2 linked regions of the Lonchura striata genome follow. The protein of the gene in region 1 purifies or fractionates together with the protein of each later gene. This does not show direct contact. Links are inferred from orthologs where the notes say so. Each region holds a gene or a part of one and is shown on either strand. Other genes may lie near its edges.

Region 1 (7,212 bases):
CCGGCCAGCCAAGAGCAAACCTGAGGAGGAGGAGGAGGAGGAGGAGGAGGAGGAGGAGGAAGGAGCTGTGCCAGGGACCCCCCCGCACAAAAGGGTGAGGGATGGGTGTGCCTGGGGGCAGGGGGTGGGCAGAGCCTCCTCCTGAACCCTCCATTTTTCTCCACAGTTTCGCTCCCTGTTTTTTGGCTCGGTGATGACACCAGGGAGGCCTGGCCCGGCCACCACCCAGGAGGTGCTGGCGGAGGACAGCGATGGAGAAAGCTGAGCCCCGAGTCACTGCCAGCCCCAGCCTCCATCCAACCACCAGGACAGGCACCCCCCAGTGACCCATTACAAGTTTATTCCTCAAAAAAGCCTCCTGCCCCCCCCCTCTGCTGCCACCCCAGGGCTGGGCTCTGGGCTCCCCCCTCGCCCCAGCTCTACCTGCCCTGGGCCTGGATTTGCTTTGGTGGAGCGTGGCGGGAGGGGGGCAGGATCCTACAAATAAAAAAACGAGTCGAAAGAAAAGCGACCTGATGCTTGGGCGGGGGGCTGCGGGGCGTGGGCAGCACAGGGGCGGCTCCCAGCTCATTTCTTGGCTTTGGCAGAGTTTCGGGGAGGGGTGACGGGCCGTCCGGCGGGGTTCAGCCCGCTGAACTGCCCGTATTTGCCTTTGTTCTTGTCGGCCGGCTTCAAAATCTGCGGGGGAAGGGGGAAAGAAATCAGTGAGCTCCCACCCCGGCTCTCCACTGCCCTGGAGGGCAGAACTCCCTGCAGCCCTCCCGGCAGGAACTGGGGGTGTTTCCCCTCCCTGGGCTCACCTGGAAAGAGCACATGAGGGTCTCATCCACGCTCATCATGGCGCCGGCGTTGTCGAACTCGCCGCAGTAGTTGGGGGCCGAGAAGAGGGTGACGAGCTGGCGCTTGGCGAAGAACTCGTAGCCATCCTCCACCACCTGGGGGGGGGCACGGGGTTGGCAAAAATCCACCCCCCATGGCCACTATCCCAGTATTCCCAGTCCCCCAGGCTGAAATCCAGCCCTCTCTAGCAAGGTGAATGCTCCCTTCCCCGCAGCAAACAGCCAGCACTGGGACAAACACCCACTGCCCCAGGGCAAATATCCATCTCCAGAGCGATTATCCAGCCTCTGGGAGGAACAGCCACATCCCAGGGTGACTATTCATCCCCCCTGGGCAAATAGTTTGACATCAGAGCAAACACCCAAATGCTGAGGCAAATACCCAAATCCCAGGACAAACACCCCCAGAATTCCAACCCACACACTCCTGGGGTGCACACTGCCCTTGAAGGGGAAACACTCGGGGTAGAACCACCTGACACCCACTGGAGACCCAAACCCCCATGTCCCCAGTGTCTGGGGGTCCCGGTGGTACCTGGTGCGCCCGGCAGATGAGATCCAGGTCATGCTTGTGCAGGAATTTGGCCACCACCTCGGCCCCGAAAGTGAAGGAGACCCCACGGTCGTTCTCCCCCCAGCCCTGCACGTCCTTGTCGGGGTCGGACCAGAGCAGGTCACAGAGCAGCCCCTGATCCGGGACATCCGTGGGCCGCATGATCCGCCGGATCTGCTCCATCGACTGCAGGTCTGGGGACAGCCCTGCGGGAAAGGGGCACCCCAGAGCTCAGCAAGGAGACCCCAACCCTCCTCCAGCCCTCCCAAGCCCCTGGGAAGGGCCATTCCCACCTCCGTGGCAGCAGAAGATCTTCTCATCCACGATGGCAGCAATGGGCAAACAATTGAAGCAGTCGGTGAAGGTCTTCCAGAGCTTGATGTTGTATCTTCGCTTGCCTGCGGGGCACAAAGGGGGCTTGGAGGTGACCCAGGGGACAGCCTGGGGGTGGGCAGGAGGACACCGAGGAAGGGCAGGAAGACATGGTGGGGAGGGAAGGAGGTCACAGGTGGGGTCAGTGTGGGACAGCACTGGGATGACACCGGGAAAGGGGGAGCCCAGGGATGGCAGTGGGGTTTTGGGGGGCACAGCCCGGGCACTCACACTCATCATAGAAGCCATAGATGCGGTTGATGCTGGCACACTCGTGGTTGCCCCGCAGCAGGAAGAAGTTCTCGGGGTACTTGATTTTATAGGCAAGCAGCAGGCAGATGGTCTCCAGGGACTGCTTGCCCCGGTCCACGTAGTCGCCCAAAAATAGGTAATTGCTCTCAGGGGGGAAGCCCCCGTACTCAAAGAGCCTCAGGAGGTCGTAGTACTGCCCGTGGATGTCACCTGGAGGGGGGACACAGGCTGTGAGTGGCACCCTGCAGCCCCCCGCACCAGCCCAGTGCTGCCCAGCAGCCGTGCAGGCCTCACCGCAGATCTTGAGGGGTGCCTCCAGCTCCAGCAGGATGGGCTGGCTCAGGAAGATCTCCCGGGATTTGAGGCACAGCCCGCGGATCTCGTTCTCTGTCAGCTGCACGTTTTTCCCCGGCCGCGATCCTTGGACTGCTCCCAGCACAGAGAACAGGATCAGGGATCTCCAAGGGCTCGGGGACACCTACAGCACCCCGGGAACCCCTTCTCCAGCTGCCCCAGCCCTCCCTGCCCGTATCCCCCACGCCCTGCAGGCTCAGCTCCAGCCCCCAGACCCTTCGGGGCCCCCCAGTGCCCCTCCGCGGGGCACAGACCCTTTGGGAACCCCCCATTTCCCCCAGCCCCCTCCCGCGGGGCACAAACCCATTCGGTATCCCGCCTCATATCCCCCACATCCCCCGGACTCATCTCCGGCTGCCCAGGCCCCATGGGAACCCCCCAAAACCTTTCCCAGCCCTGACCCCCCCCCGAACCACCGCGGCCTAACCCGCCCCCGCCAGGCCCGGGCCGGGGACTCCCCCCGCGGCGTTGGGACGCGGCCCGAGCCGGCCGCGAGAGGTTCCGGGAGCGGAGGGAGGGCGTCCCGGCGCTCGGGGGGGCGGCGGGGGCCCGCTCACCCTCCAGGAGGCGGCTGATGATGGAGTCGAGGTTGAGCTTCTCGGTGTCCGCCATGGCCGCCCGCGCGCCGCCCCGCCTCGCGCGCCCGCCCGCAGCGGCCCCGCCGCGCGCCCGCCCCCTGCCGGCCCGGAGGAGTCGCTGCAGCCCGGCCGGCCCCGGTGCCCCGGGGGAAACGGGGACGGCGCGGCGGGGACACGGGCAGCAGCGAGCCGCGGGACACCGGCAACAGCGAGCCGCGGGGACACCGGCAGCAGCGAGCCGCGGGACACCGGCAGCAGCGAGCCGCGGGACACCGGCAGCAGCGAGCCGCGGCGGGGGCGCAGGGGCACGGGGACACGCTCCGCAGGGGGACATTCCGAGCAGGGAAAACGTGACACCCCGGGCAGAGGGACACCCCTGGCAGAGGGACATGTCCTGGGAAAGGGGACACCGCGGCAACGGGATATTCCCGGGCAAGGGGGACACCGCGGGCAGAGAGCCTTCGCTGGAAAGGAGAACGTGCCGGGCTGAAGGACTTCCCTGGAGCGGAGGACGTCCTGGGAAAGGGGACATCCTGGGAAAGGCGACATCCTGCGTTGTTCTCTACAACCCGGGCAGGCGGACACGCCGGGCAAGGGATAGAGCTCGGGCAAGGGGACACGGGGGACATGGACTCGTATCCTGGCCTGGGGGCACAGGGATAGGGAGGGAGTGGGAGGGGAACAGCCTCAGGATAGACAGAGGTTCCCGGGACTGCGAGGGACAGGAGGGGACACAGAGGGAACCGAGGATCTGTATCCCGGTCCTGGGCGCGCAGGGACAGCCTGGGGACCCGGGAGGACACGAGGGGACAGGATGCTTGGTAGAGCCCAGGGATATCCCCACCCGGGGACTCTGGGGACACCGTCGGGAGCAGCACCGGGCGGTTGCCGGGAGATTGTCGCCACGCTGAGGTCCCCGGGGACACCCCGAAGGGCGTGTCCCCACCGGGGACACGGGGGAGGGTGACACATTTGTGCCACCGCTCGTGGACGGTGGCAGTGGCAGGGATGGGGTCATGGCTGTCCCTTGTCCACACTGGCTGTGCCATGCCTTGCCACGCCGTGCCATTCCCTGGGTGCCATTCCCAGGGTGCCACGCCGTGCCACGCCATGCCATTCCCCGCGTCCCATTCCATGTCGTGCGGGGAGGTCGCGAATAGCTCCCGGGACCTGCCCTGACATTTCTGCTTCGCGGTGTCAGTTTTACACCCGGCCCCGGGTGACCCCGGGCTGGCCCCGTCCCTGCCTCCGGACGCTTGTCCCCTACCCCCGTCCCTATCCCCGTCCCTTGTCCCACTCCCTACCCGAGTCCCTTGTCCCCGTCTCCCAGCGGTGGCACCCCGGTTCCGCCACCCTCACCTCCGCTGCCCCCTTTGTTCTGCCACCCCCTTCGGTGTCCCGGTCCCCCCGGTGCCCCCGGTCCCGCCCCGCCCCGCCCCGCCCGAGCAGGACACGGCACCGCCGCCACCGCCGGGACCGGAGCGGGCAGAGCCGCTGCTGGGGCTGCGACAGCACCGGGACCGACACCGGGAAACCCCACCAGACCCCGACACCGCCGGGACCGGAGCGAGCAGAGCCGCTCCACTGCCGGGTGCGACAACACCAGGACAGACCGGCACCGACAGACACCGGCACCGGCACCGGTGGGTGCTGAAGGCAGCGGGGGTGATCTGGGTGGGCTTGGGGGTGCCGGTGCCGGGGGGCGGGAGCAGCGGGATGGGGGTCGGGGTGCGTGTGCACACCTGCGACACGGTGCCGGTGACAGCGCAGGTGACAGGTGGGTGATGATGTTCACGACACGGTGAGGGTGACAGGGTGCAGGTGACGGTGCGGTGACATGGTGCGGGTTATGGGGTCTGGGTGGCAGTGCGGGTGACAGGTAGGTGATATGAGTGACAAGTGGCGGGTGACAGATGCAGGTGACAAGGTGCCGGCGATGGTGCGGTGTCGCCGTGTGGGTGACGAGGTGTGTGACAGGTGCGGGTGACAAGACCCTGGTGGTGGTGCAGGTGACGGTGCGTGGTGGGTTGTGTGTGACAGGGCGCACGTGACAGTTCAGGTGACAATGAGGGTGGCAGGGTGCAGGGGGTGGCGCGGGTGGCAGGCAGCGGGTGACAGCGCGTGCAGGACTCTGCAGCACGGCAGCCGCGCTGGTGGCCCCGTGCCTGCCGGTGGCCGTGACGGTGACAGTGACAGTGACGCCGCGGGCAGCTGGAACTAAGCCGGGGGACGTGCGTGCTGGCAGCTCCGCCACGCTGGGGACAGGGGGACAGGGCGGGGGGGAGGACGAGGGGCGTGCCCAGCCAGGGGACGCGGGACAGGGGGACAGGAGAGCCCGGCCAGGCTGATCCTCCCCCCGGCTCCCGCTGAGGCAGCTCGCTACTGACGGGGACAGGGACACGGACAGGGGTGCCAGCGCCTGGCGCGAGGTGGCAGAGGGGACAATGAGGCTCTGTGTCGCCTAATCCGGGGCACGGGGCCGGGGGTTGGCACCCCGGGGTGGCGCGGGGGGGTTTAAAGGCCAGACCGGCCGGCGTCCCCTGTGCCAGGCGTCCCCGAGCCCTCGTCCCCTGCGAGCTCTCAGGCCACGGCTCCCACCCCAAGGTACCGGGCGACACAGCTGTCCCAGCTTGGGGACAGCAGCAGCACCTCCCAGCTGGGGATGGAGGGGGACAGCGCGGTCCCGCGGCTGGGGGGGCGCGGACCTTGAGGGACCCCCGTGACTGGGTTTTGGGGGGCCCTTGTGCCACGCCACCGAGCCGTGTGTCCCCTAACGCTGTCACCGGGTGCCAGGCTTGGGGATATCCTGGCTGCCAGCGGGCACCGCTCAGCTCCGTGCCTCAGTTTCCCTCTGTGCCCAGCTCTGCCGGGCACCTGCTGGGAGCGAAGGCACCAGGGGGGTGGGGACAACCGGTCCCTGGGTCTGCACCCCCAGGGCACCTTGGCACCCCCGGGATGGGGAGGTGCCCCCGGCTGTGCTGAGCTGGCACGGGATTACACTAAGCCGGAGGTGCCGGGGCCACCGGGGCTGGCACCGAGGGAACAACCTGAGGCCACCGTGACTGGCACCAAGGGGTCAATCTGGGGCCACCAGACCTGTCAAAGAGGGGACGAGCTGGGGCCACAGGGACTGGCACCGAGGGGTCAGTGCGGGGACACTGAGACTAGCGCTGAGGGGACAACATGAAGACAGCGGAGCTGGCACCGAGGTGTGCCCCAGGAAGGGTGCCAGGCTCTGGTGGGTGCTGCAGGACAGGTCTCTCCACGGGAGCTGGGCTTGGGGCTCCCAGCACCGGCCGGGGGCGGCCAGGGAGGGGTGGCAAGTCCCCAGGGAGCCGCGCTGACTCTGCCTGTCCTTCTCTTGCAGCCCCTCTGTCACCAGGATGGTGAGTGGCCCCCGGGTGGGGGGGTCCGGGCGGAGGTGGATGCCCCATCCCGGGATCCCGGCGGTGCCGGGCACTGGCGTGGGGCAGCGGGCAGCGCAGCGTGCTGTGCCCACCCGCCGCGTGACCCCGCGGGGACAAGGGGACGCTTTGTCCGGGAGCTGGCGGCCCCGGCGGCTGGCACTGCCCCGTTGTCCCCGAGGTGGTGGCGCCGTGCCCGGCGCCTGCAGCCCCCCAGCACCCCGACGCCCCCACCCCACGGGTGGGCAGCGGCGCCCGCTGTGTCCTGTGTCAGCCCCCCCGTGTACGCCCCGTGCCCACACGGGGTCTGTCCCCGTGCCAGCTCCGTGCCAGACCCGTGCCAGCCCCTTAACCCCACGCCAGCCCCATACCACCCCCTTACCCCCGTGCCAGCCCCGTGCCAGCCCTGTCCCTGCTCCCGCAGCTCTCGACGTCCCAGCCGAGCACGGAGCGGGTGCCCAGCCCGGAGGAGCAGGAGTGGGCAGGGCCCGAGGCGCTGTGCCCAGGCTGGCTGGAGGACGAAGCCCCCGATGGCGAAGTGCCCGGGGACAGTGGGGACCCCGACTGTGCCACCCACGCCTACGAGCGGCTCCAGAGCGCCCTGTGCCAGGAGGGGCTGCCCCCCACGCTGGACTGCTCCGCGGAGCCCCGCACGGGTTGGGGACACGGGGGGCACGGTGCCAGGCTGGGACACGGGGGTGGCAGGGACTGGGGTGGGGATGGGGGAATGGTGCCAGGCTGGGACACGGGGGTGGCAGGGACAGTGATGTGGGCTCGGTGCCAGGCTGGGACACGGGGCTGGCAGGGACAGCGATGTGGGCGCAGTGCCAGGTTGGGACACGGGGGTGGCAGGGACAGTG
Region 2 (7,847 bases), on another chromosome or scaffold:
ATTAAACCAAAACATGTTCTACAGATTATTACTTTTGTCCTCAAAGTAGGTTAAAAACATCTGGAAATGTTAATAGCAGAGATATAAGAAAGTTAAATTTTTAGTTTCCCTGTCAATTGTTTTGTTTACCATCTCCTTTCACACCACAGGTACTCCACAACCTTCCCAGTGCTTTCCAGCAGCGCAGCACCACGTCCCCGTCAGAGCCGAGGCATTTGCATTTCAATGCCCTGCCCGTACCCGAATGTCAGCTCTGACACACCGACTGCACGGGAGGGAGCAGCTGGGCAGGATTCCTGCAGCAGCACAGCAAGTGGGGGCAGCGGGGTGGCAGGAGACAGCCCTCACCTCGGAGCCCTGCCTGGCAATCCTCTGGGCTCCCTGCTCCGGGGCTGGGCAAGAGAGGCTCCAACAGCCTCACTTAAAAAAAAAACTATTAACACCGCCTGAAACCAAGCCAACCTCATCAGAGAGCAATCAGAACAAGAGAAGCAGTGACACGGAGGAAAGCTGCAGATCCTTATCTCTTCAGAAAAAAGGGCAAAGACGACATGGGCCATTAGCAGAGATGGGATAGTGTGATCCTAAACCGGGATGAGGGGCAGCTGGAGGGAAAAGGGAGCCTAAGAGCAAAGACTAAACAGGAAAAGGGAAAAGGAAAGGAGACACACAGGCGGTTACGTTCAGAAACAAGGTAGAGAAAACATGTTACAAGTTGTTAACTTAGACTAAGCTTTCCACATACATATTTTTCCTAGCATGATACAGAAGGTTAACAGTAACTGTCGATGTCTATGACCCTTATCAATAGATTATAATAGCTATCATAATATTTTACTATCTTGTTTAGAGGAAAAAAAATTAGTCAACATTTAGGAGTCATTTAGACAAATAGAAACACCCCCCCCCCCCTTTATTTTTCTTTAAGTTGCTGATTCCAACCAATTCCCTTACTTGGAAAGTAAACAGGAAATAATACATATATTAGTAAACATGCCTGGAAATGGATTTTCTAAAGAGCTGAAAAGAAACACAAATTACTCAAGAAGTTGAAATGATATTTTGTCCCTTTGCTCTCTTTCACTGAAAGAACCATTAAACTGGCAGATATGTAGGAAATGCTGCTCCTTCAAACTAACTGTATGCTCTAAATCAAACCTTGCATCCATTATGAATTGCAGCTGAGTTAAAGTGCCTACCTGCAGCCAGGCCAGGCAGCAAAGTCTGCTGGCTCTTTGTTCTGCAGCTGGCAGCTCCTGCCCAGGCTCAGGAATCACACCCCACCTGCCACTGCTGTTCAGGTGAGGAAGGTGTAGTTAGGCCAAAGAGATCTGTTTAAAAAGGTATTTTAGGAAGTCTGTGAATGAAGTCATCTACATGGGATAATCTAGCAATAAGGTAAAGCCATCAGGAAATGAATACATAAGATTAATCATGGAAAGTTACTCATGGAAAACTGGTAATTCCTTCTTGCATAGTTCTGTATTTTAGAGAATAAAACAAAGTTTTCCTGAAAACACACTGAGCAGTAACTCTGCCAGGAAGATGCTTCATCTGGATAAAACAACTCACCTACTTTACAGACACAAGCTTTTAAGCCAGTATGAAACTAGATTAAGAGCTCTAACAATTCCATACAATCATGTACAATCTCCACAAGTATTTGCTGCTCTTGCTACACCTCTTGATTCAGTCTGTCTAGAGGAGGTTTTAAGTCATAAGTCACACAGAAGGAAGTACATCCAGTTTGTCACAAAGGTAGCTGTTCAGCTGGCAATTTTAAGCAAGTTAAACTTTCTAACTATAGAAACTAATTATTGGAATTCCATAAAGTCTTGTTTCCTAAAACATCTGTGTGTTCTTTCCTTCATGCCCATATATCTCTGTATGTTATTTTTTCTGTAAATATCTGGGAATGAAGTGTTTTAGCAGACATTAGACAGCCTTTATGCCTCAGTGAGGAAGGGGAAAAACTTTGGAGGCACTTAGAAAGCAATTAAAGAAGAATGAGCTCTATAAAAGTAAATGGCAAAGACCTAAAGCAAACACAAACTATGATCTCTGAGAAGGATCCCCCTATTAAATTCGAAGTCAGAGATCCACCAGACGATATTCCCCCTTGCCCCTGTGCTCACCTTGGAGCAGCCTGGCCATTCTGCATCAAATATCAGCTGCTCCACAACTAACAGAACTGCAAAGTATTCACATCGTTTCATTTGCTGTCCCAGCGCAAATCCCAGCTTTCCCAGCCCAGCCTCAACTTCACCCTCAGTAAAAACTGGCAAACAGACCGACCCACATACAAATCCAAAATAACCTTCGAGAGAAAGGACCGAGAGGATGGAATGCAGCTACACACGTACACGCTAACACGTAAAGCCTTTCAAGTCAGTAATTCGTAATAATAACAGAGCACGGACAGAGCCCCGGCAGGAACAGCATCCACCCGGCACCCACAGCAGCTTTATCCCGGGAAATTCCTCGAAGGTGTCAGCGCGGGGCAGGCGCTCCCCGGCAGGGCGCGGGCCCGCGCCGCACGCTCCCGGCCGCGCTGCGGGCTCGGGCAGCGCCGGGGCTGCCGGCGAGCACCGGGGCCCCGCGCCGCCAGCGGGGGCGAGGGCGGCGCGGCCCCGCGGGGCCCCGGCGCGGCTGCCGGCGCCAGACGGGCTCTGCGGGCGCCGCCGCGACCGGGACCGCGGCGGGGCGAGGGGCGCCGGGGGACCCGAGGGGAGGGAGTGACGGGCAGGCGGCGGCCGCGCCTCGCCGGAGCCCCGCTCGGTGCCCCCGCCCGCGGCCCCGCGGAGGAAAGCGGACCGCCGCCGCCCCCCGGCCTCCCCTCACGGCGCGAGGGGTCGTCACCCCCTCCCGCCCCTCACCTGGCAGGGGCTCGCCGGCCCCGCGGCGCCTCCCGCGAGGAGGCGGCGGCTGCGCCCAGGCGGCTCCGTGCGGGCTCGGTGCCGTTCCCGCCGGGCCCGCCGAGGACGCGGCTCCCGGGACGGGGCTGCGACCGCCGCGCCCGCGCGCAACAACCAACTCCGGGTGCCGCCCCCCGCGCGCGCACCGCGGCGGGGAGCCCCGCCCCCCGATCGCTCATTGGCCGCCGGCAGCGAGAGGGCGTGGCGCCATCGCGGGGCGGCGCGAGGCCCTCGGGCGGCCAGGGGAACCGCCGTGATAAGACTACAATTCCCGATGCGCACCGCGCGCGGGCCTTTAAATACGTACCGTCATCTCGCGCGTGCGTGTGCAGAAAGTGTGTGCTTCCGCCTGCGGTGGTGAAGTAGTCCCGCTGCGTGGTTTGAGCTCCAGCCCCGCGCTGGGCCGCTGAGGGAGCGGAGCGGCGGGCGCTGAGCCGGGAGCCCTCTCGGCTTTGCGGGCCTTCTCCCGAGGGGCTCCTCTGGGGGAGGCGAGAGGGCCGCTCTGAGGCGGGAGCGGAGGGATCCGAGCAGGCGGAGTTGTTAGGCGGCGGGCGCGTGCAGGACGCGCGGCGGCTGCGCGGGCTGAGGGGACCCGGCTGAGGGGACGCGGCCGCCCCCGGGACCCCGGCCCTGCGCCAGAGCCGCCGCCGGCAGGTCAGTGGGGACGGCCGCGGGCCCGCCGCCCCTCCTCGGCCGGCAAGGAGTCGGCGGGCGGCTGCGGGTGCTGTGGCCCGCCGTGAGGGGGGCTGGGGGAGCCGCCGGAGCTCACGGGGGGTGAGGGGGAAGAACCGGATGAGGGTCTAAGTGCTTGGCTTTCCGTATTCTCCATTATATATCTTTCCACGGTTCCCCCAAAGCGATATTTCATGGCTCCCTTGGTTCTATTTATTTGTCCTTTCTGTAGGTCCACTTAACGTTCCCTTGTCAAGCAGGTGATTTGTTATAGCGTGGTTTTCTTATACTTCTGTCCAGGTTTCCACATTCAGTTCCCCGTCCCTGGGGGAGTGAGTCTCTTGTGTCGAGGTGGTAAAAAGAAGCCCCGGCCCTGGGGCTGAAGACACCGGGGCCACGTGCCTTGCGAGGCGCCATTCATTCCCGTCCTCTGGAAAACCAGCGCGAGAGTGGAAAGGAGGAAGGGCAGGGCGAATATAAATAAAAGAGCTCCTGCTCTCTAGAGTAGCGTCCTTCAGCGTTTTTGGCTGCCCATTCCTGTCAATAAAGAATGCTTTTTATCATGCCTCTCTCAAATATGTAAATTTATTGGTTCGTCAGTTATCTACACGTAGTGCTCTTCTGATAGATTATAAAACGTACTCAGACATAGAAATTGAGAAAGGATAAGACAAAAGTGAAACAGAGATGGTATTTTAAGACATTATTTCATAAAGCTGCAGAAAATGCAGATTTTTGGTTTGCTTTGCATATGACCCCCTTGACCACTGTGCAAATTCTTCTGAAGTCATCATTCTAAAGAATGTAAACATAAACTGCCGATGAAAAGAAATATGTTTTCTTTTTTAATCCTGGCCACGTGTGCAGGGGTACAACCTATTTGAAGATGGTAAAATGATAGTGAAATGCTTTTTTACCTTCTCTTGGCTTTTTTCACACCTGTATCATATGTCTGTTAGAAGGGATGAGATATTTTGTATTTACAGAACTATATCACTTGGTGGAATATAATTCCGAGTTCAGGAAATTGGGGTAATCTGATAATTTTTTTCCCCCCTGTCCTTAGAAATCCGGCATGCCTTGAAATAGAACTTGAGAAGTTTGGCTTAGAAATGGTGTGCAAAACAGAGTATTTTGATTAGTCTTTAAAATCCTAAGTTAACTTTTATTTAGGATCCCAGTAGTTTTCAAAACAGAAAAATGAGAGGTTGTGTGATCTGACCACACTGTCTTGGTTATAAGTGGATTTTTTGTTCCTTTGGTTGCCCGTGGCGGGGCACACAGAGGGTATGTGGTGATAACATTTGTGGCTCAAAAAAGAGAGCAGAGAATTGTGTTCTTTTAGGTACCTGATGCTTGGGTCCAGCTCCTGGGTGTACCTAACTGTTAGAAGGTGACTATAACAATTTCTGGTGCTCTGCAGTAAAGCAACCACAAGGAGAGAGATTCTCACTGTTTTCCACCTTCTGCTCTTGCAGGGGATCTTCCCTGGCCCAGCTCAGGCTTGCTGTGTATGGCTGGCCAGGACTGCCCCCAGAACTGAGGAGAGGAGCTGATCGCCTCGTGCTTCTGGATTGCTGGATGCCAGCACTGACTGTGAGCTGTGCTTTTGCTTGTACAGCATCACGATGTTACTTTAAGTATCAGAGCACAGGAATGGAGAACATTGTGCACTGATGTGCTGGGCTTGACTTTGTAACCTTTGTTAGTGTCTGTTCCCAGTGAAGTTAAATAAAGGGTCACTCAGTATCCAGTGCCCATTAGCAGGGTGTGTCTCCTCACCTGCCACACCGGCTCAGCCTTTCCATGCTAATTGCTTCTTCTTGACTAAATAGGAATAAATAAACTGTTTTAGGACCAGTTATTCAATGGGATTTTTCTCAAGTTTACAGGCTCATACAAGTTTCTGAATTCTTGCTGTTTCACCCTCCTGCCCTCTCCAGGCTGTGGGTGAAAAATTTAAGTATTGCTGCCATGCACACAGAGCTGTGCTTGGTGTTTTTGAGTGTTGTGGCATGTGCTTTGAGGAATTGTTAGAGAATAAAGTAATAGAGACCCTCTTGATAATGATCTGTGGGAGGGATGGGTGACTCAAAGAAACAGGCCTGTACAATTTTGAGTGCAGTAGGTGAATACAGAAAGGTTGTCTTTTTTTTTTTTTTTCCCCAGTTGTTCATGTACCTTTAATAAAATGCTGTTTCAATCTGAAATGCGAGTGGCTTGGGAGTCCCAAAATGAAGTTGCTCTCTGAATTCTTTCTAGCTTTTTAAATTTTTTTACTTCCATGATTTCCCTTAGAAAGAGAGGGGAAATGTTTCTTATGTTCTTGGGAGCTGTTAAACTTCTGCTATTTTTAAGACAAGAAGAGTGATCAATAAACACAATTCAACATGAGGTATGAATTACTAAGTGTAGTTTGTTTTCAGAAGCCACTGTTTTTTTGAGAGGATTGGTTTATGAAAGCAGGTAAGGCTAGTTGATGGCTATTTGAAATACACAGTCAACTGGTAGCTAAAGCTTTATTGATGTAGGTCAGGCTCCGTGGCAAGGTGAGCAGTGTTGGCCATATTGTGTTGTCTGACTCCAGGAGTGGCTCCTTCATGTCCAGTGGCATCAGCAGCACAGCTGTTGGCTCTGATGGTAGCTGTTAGTTTTTACTGGGAGCTGGCCTCGATGGTCCTTGTGGGTCCCTTCTGTATTCCGAATTCTGTATTCTGTGGTGCAAACTTGTAGTCTGATACTGGACCTTGAATTCTGAGAGGGCAAACCAGCCAGATCTGGGTTTGTGCCTGCAATGACAGTGTTCCTGCCAGGGGCTGGTGGCAAGCATTTCATTTCCAGACCAGTCTGTTTTAATCTCTTGCATAATGGGATTGCTGGGATGTATATGGTAAAGCTATTTGTATGCACATTAATCCCACAGATGACTAATTCTTGTTAAAGGAATAACTTGCACTGTTCATAGCTGTTAGGGGCAAAGCTGAGACTGACATTTGATTTCCGAAGGTCTACTTGGTACCAGTTTGACAAGGACAGCTTTTGATGAATTGCAGCTACCCCTACTTATGAATGTGTTTATTTGTGAGAAATCTTCATTCTGTGTTACAGGGAAACAAAACTACTTAACTGTGGAATACCTGAATTTCTTCCAAGTTCTGAATTTATTAGGAAATCTTCCTTGTTCCTTGACCTTACTTTTGCAAATTTTGATGTATTTGGAAAGAAACCTGTCTTTCAGAAACATTAGGAACATTATTCGCAAGAGTGTTTTAATAGTAAATATGTTAAAAGGAGCCTGTGCTGTGTTGCCTTCATTAATGATTTTAATCCTAGAAACAAGAAATCTTGCACTGTTTTGCAGGAGACTGTGGCAAGAGCTGACTTTGGCTGACTGATTTCAGTCTTTTTAGACAATATATCTTTCCTGGCATACAGTGAATTGCAAAATAAACCTTATATTTCACTGTTTTTGAAATTCTTATGTCTTGCATTGTCTATACTGTCTCTTCATGTAAAAGGGAGTGTAAATCTAAGACACTGCAATGTGCCTTTTATGCATCATGACTGGGATAATTAATGAGATGAGCAATGGGCATCCTTAGCCTGCAGTTCAGGATACTGGGATAGCATGAAAATGACAAAAGATGGTTTAGTCACAAGACTGAGTAGTAGAAAGCTTTCTTGCTGTCAATAAAAATGTGTGACGTGCATAAGAGAATGAGGGTAGTCAAAGTGTTGGTTATTAGTTGACTTCAAGAGGCTTAAGACTGACAGGATTTATTTCTGGATTTTTTTTACATTTTTTTTTCTTCCCCTAACAAGTGCAAAACACAGAGGATTTCTCAACAATTTAGTGAATTAACAGGGGAAAAGACTACTTTTGTTTTATTATTGTGTTCAAATACGAAAAGATGATAAATTCATAGCTTTAATTATACGGTGGTGTCTGAGGGATTGTCTGCAGCCAAAAGAAAGGGAACAGTTTTTAACTGCCCTTCAAAATGTCATCTGTAGAACTTGCCAGGCTTTGTTTGGAGGGGCTCTCAGTCTTAACCAAATAGTGATTAAGGCAGGTCTGATTTGGCTGTCTCTGGTCTATAGTTCCTTTTATTTCATGTAAGTAGTATGGCATGAATTAGTGAGTTTTTTGTGAATTTTTGTGTTTGTTACTTAAGAAATAAATGATTTGTTCCTCTTGAAATTCCCTTGGCTGCTGTTTTGAAGCCTTGGATATAAGGTGGTGTGTTTCTTCTTAACTTT

Evidence for each region. Proteins that work in one complex are often made in the same cells at the same time.
Region 2: the proteins of PPP1CA (region 1) and PEAK1 purify together in Homo sapiens (affinity purification with mass spectrometry; 3 studies listed by BioGRID and IntAct, counting the BioPlex papers as one, with this or other methods). This does not show direct contact. The link is inferred for Lonchura striata from reciprocal best matches to the Homo sapiens genes PPP1CA and PEAK1.

The regions. Positions count from the first base shown.
Region 1 is NC_134608.1:53,829,732-53,836,943, reverse strand, and holds PPP1CA (serine/threonine-protein phosphatase PP1-alpha catalytic subunit), read right to left. Parts: upstream 2,983-7,212; coding exon 2,928-2,982; intron 2,443-2,927; coding exon 2,311-2,442; intron 2,227-2,310; coding exon 1,996-2,226; intron 1,791-1,995; coding exon 1,686-1,790; intron 1,599-1,685; coding exon 1,375-1,598; intron 936-1,374; coding exon 801-935; intron 679-800; coding exon 568-678; 3' UTR 497-567; downstream 1-496. Other genes in the region: cell cycle checkpoint control protein RAD9A, read left to right, coding at 1-94, 167-265; CARNS1 (carnosine synthase 1), read left to right, coding at 2,981-3,086, 4,279-4,725, 4,832-4,925, 5,086-5,179, 6,316-6,593, 6,746-7,008. UniProt on the Homo sapiens protein: Protein phosphatase that associates with over 200 regulatory proteins to form highly specific holoenzymes which dephosphorylate hundreds of biological targets.
Region 2 is NC_134613.1:5,200,888-5,208,734, forward strand, and holds the start of PEAK1 (inactive tyrosine-protein kinase PEAK1), read right to left. Parts: upstream 3,001-7,847; 5' UTR 2,877-3,000; intron 1-2,876. UniProt on the Homo sapiens protein: Probable catalytically inactive kinase. Scaffolding protein that regulates the cytoskeleton to control cell spreading and migration by modulating focal adhesion dynamics. Acts as a scaffold for mediating EGFR signaling.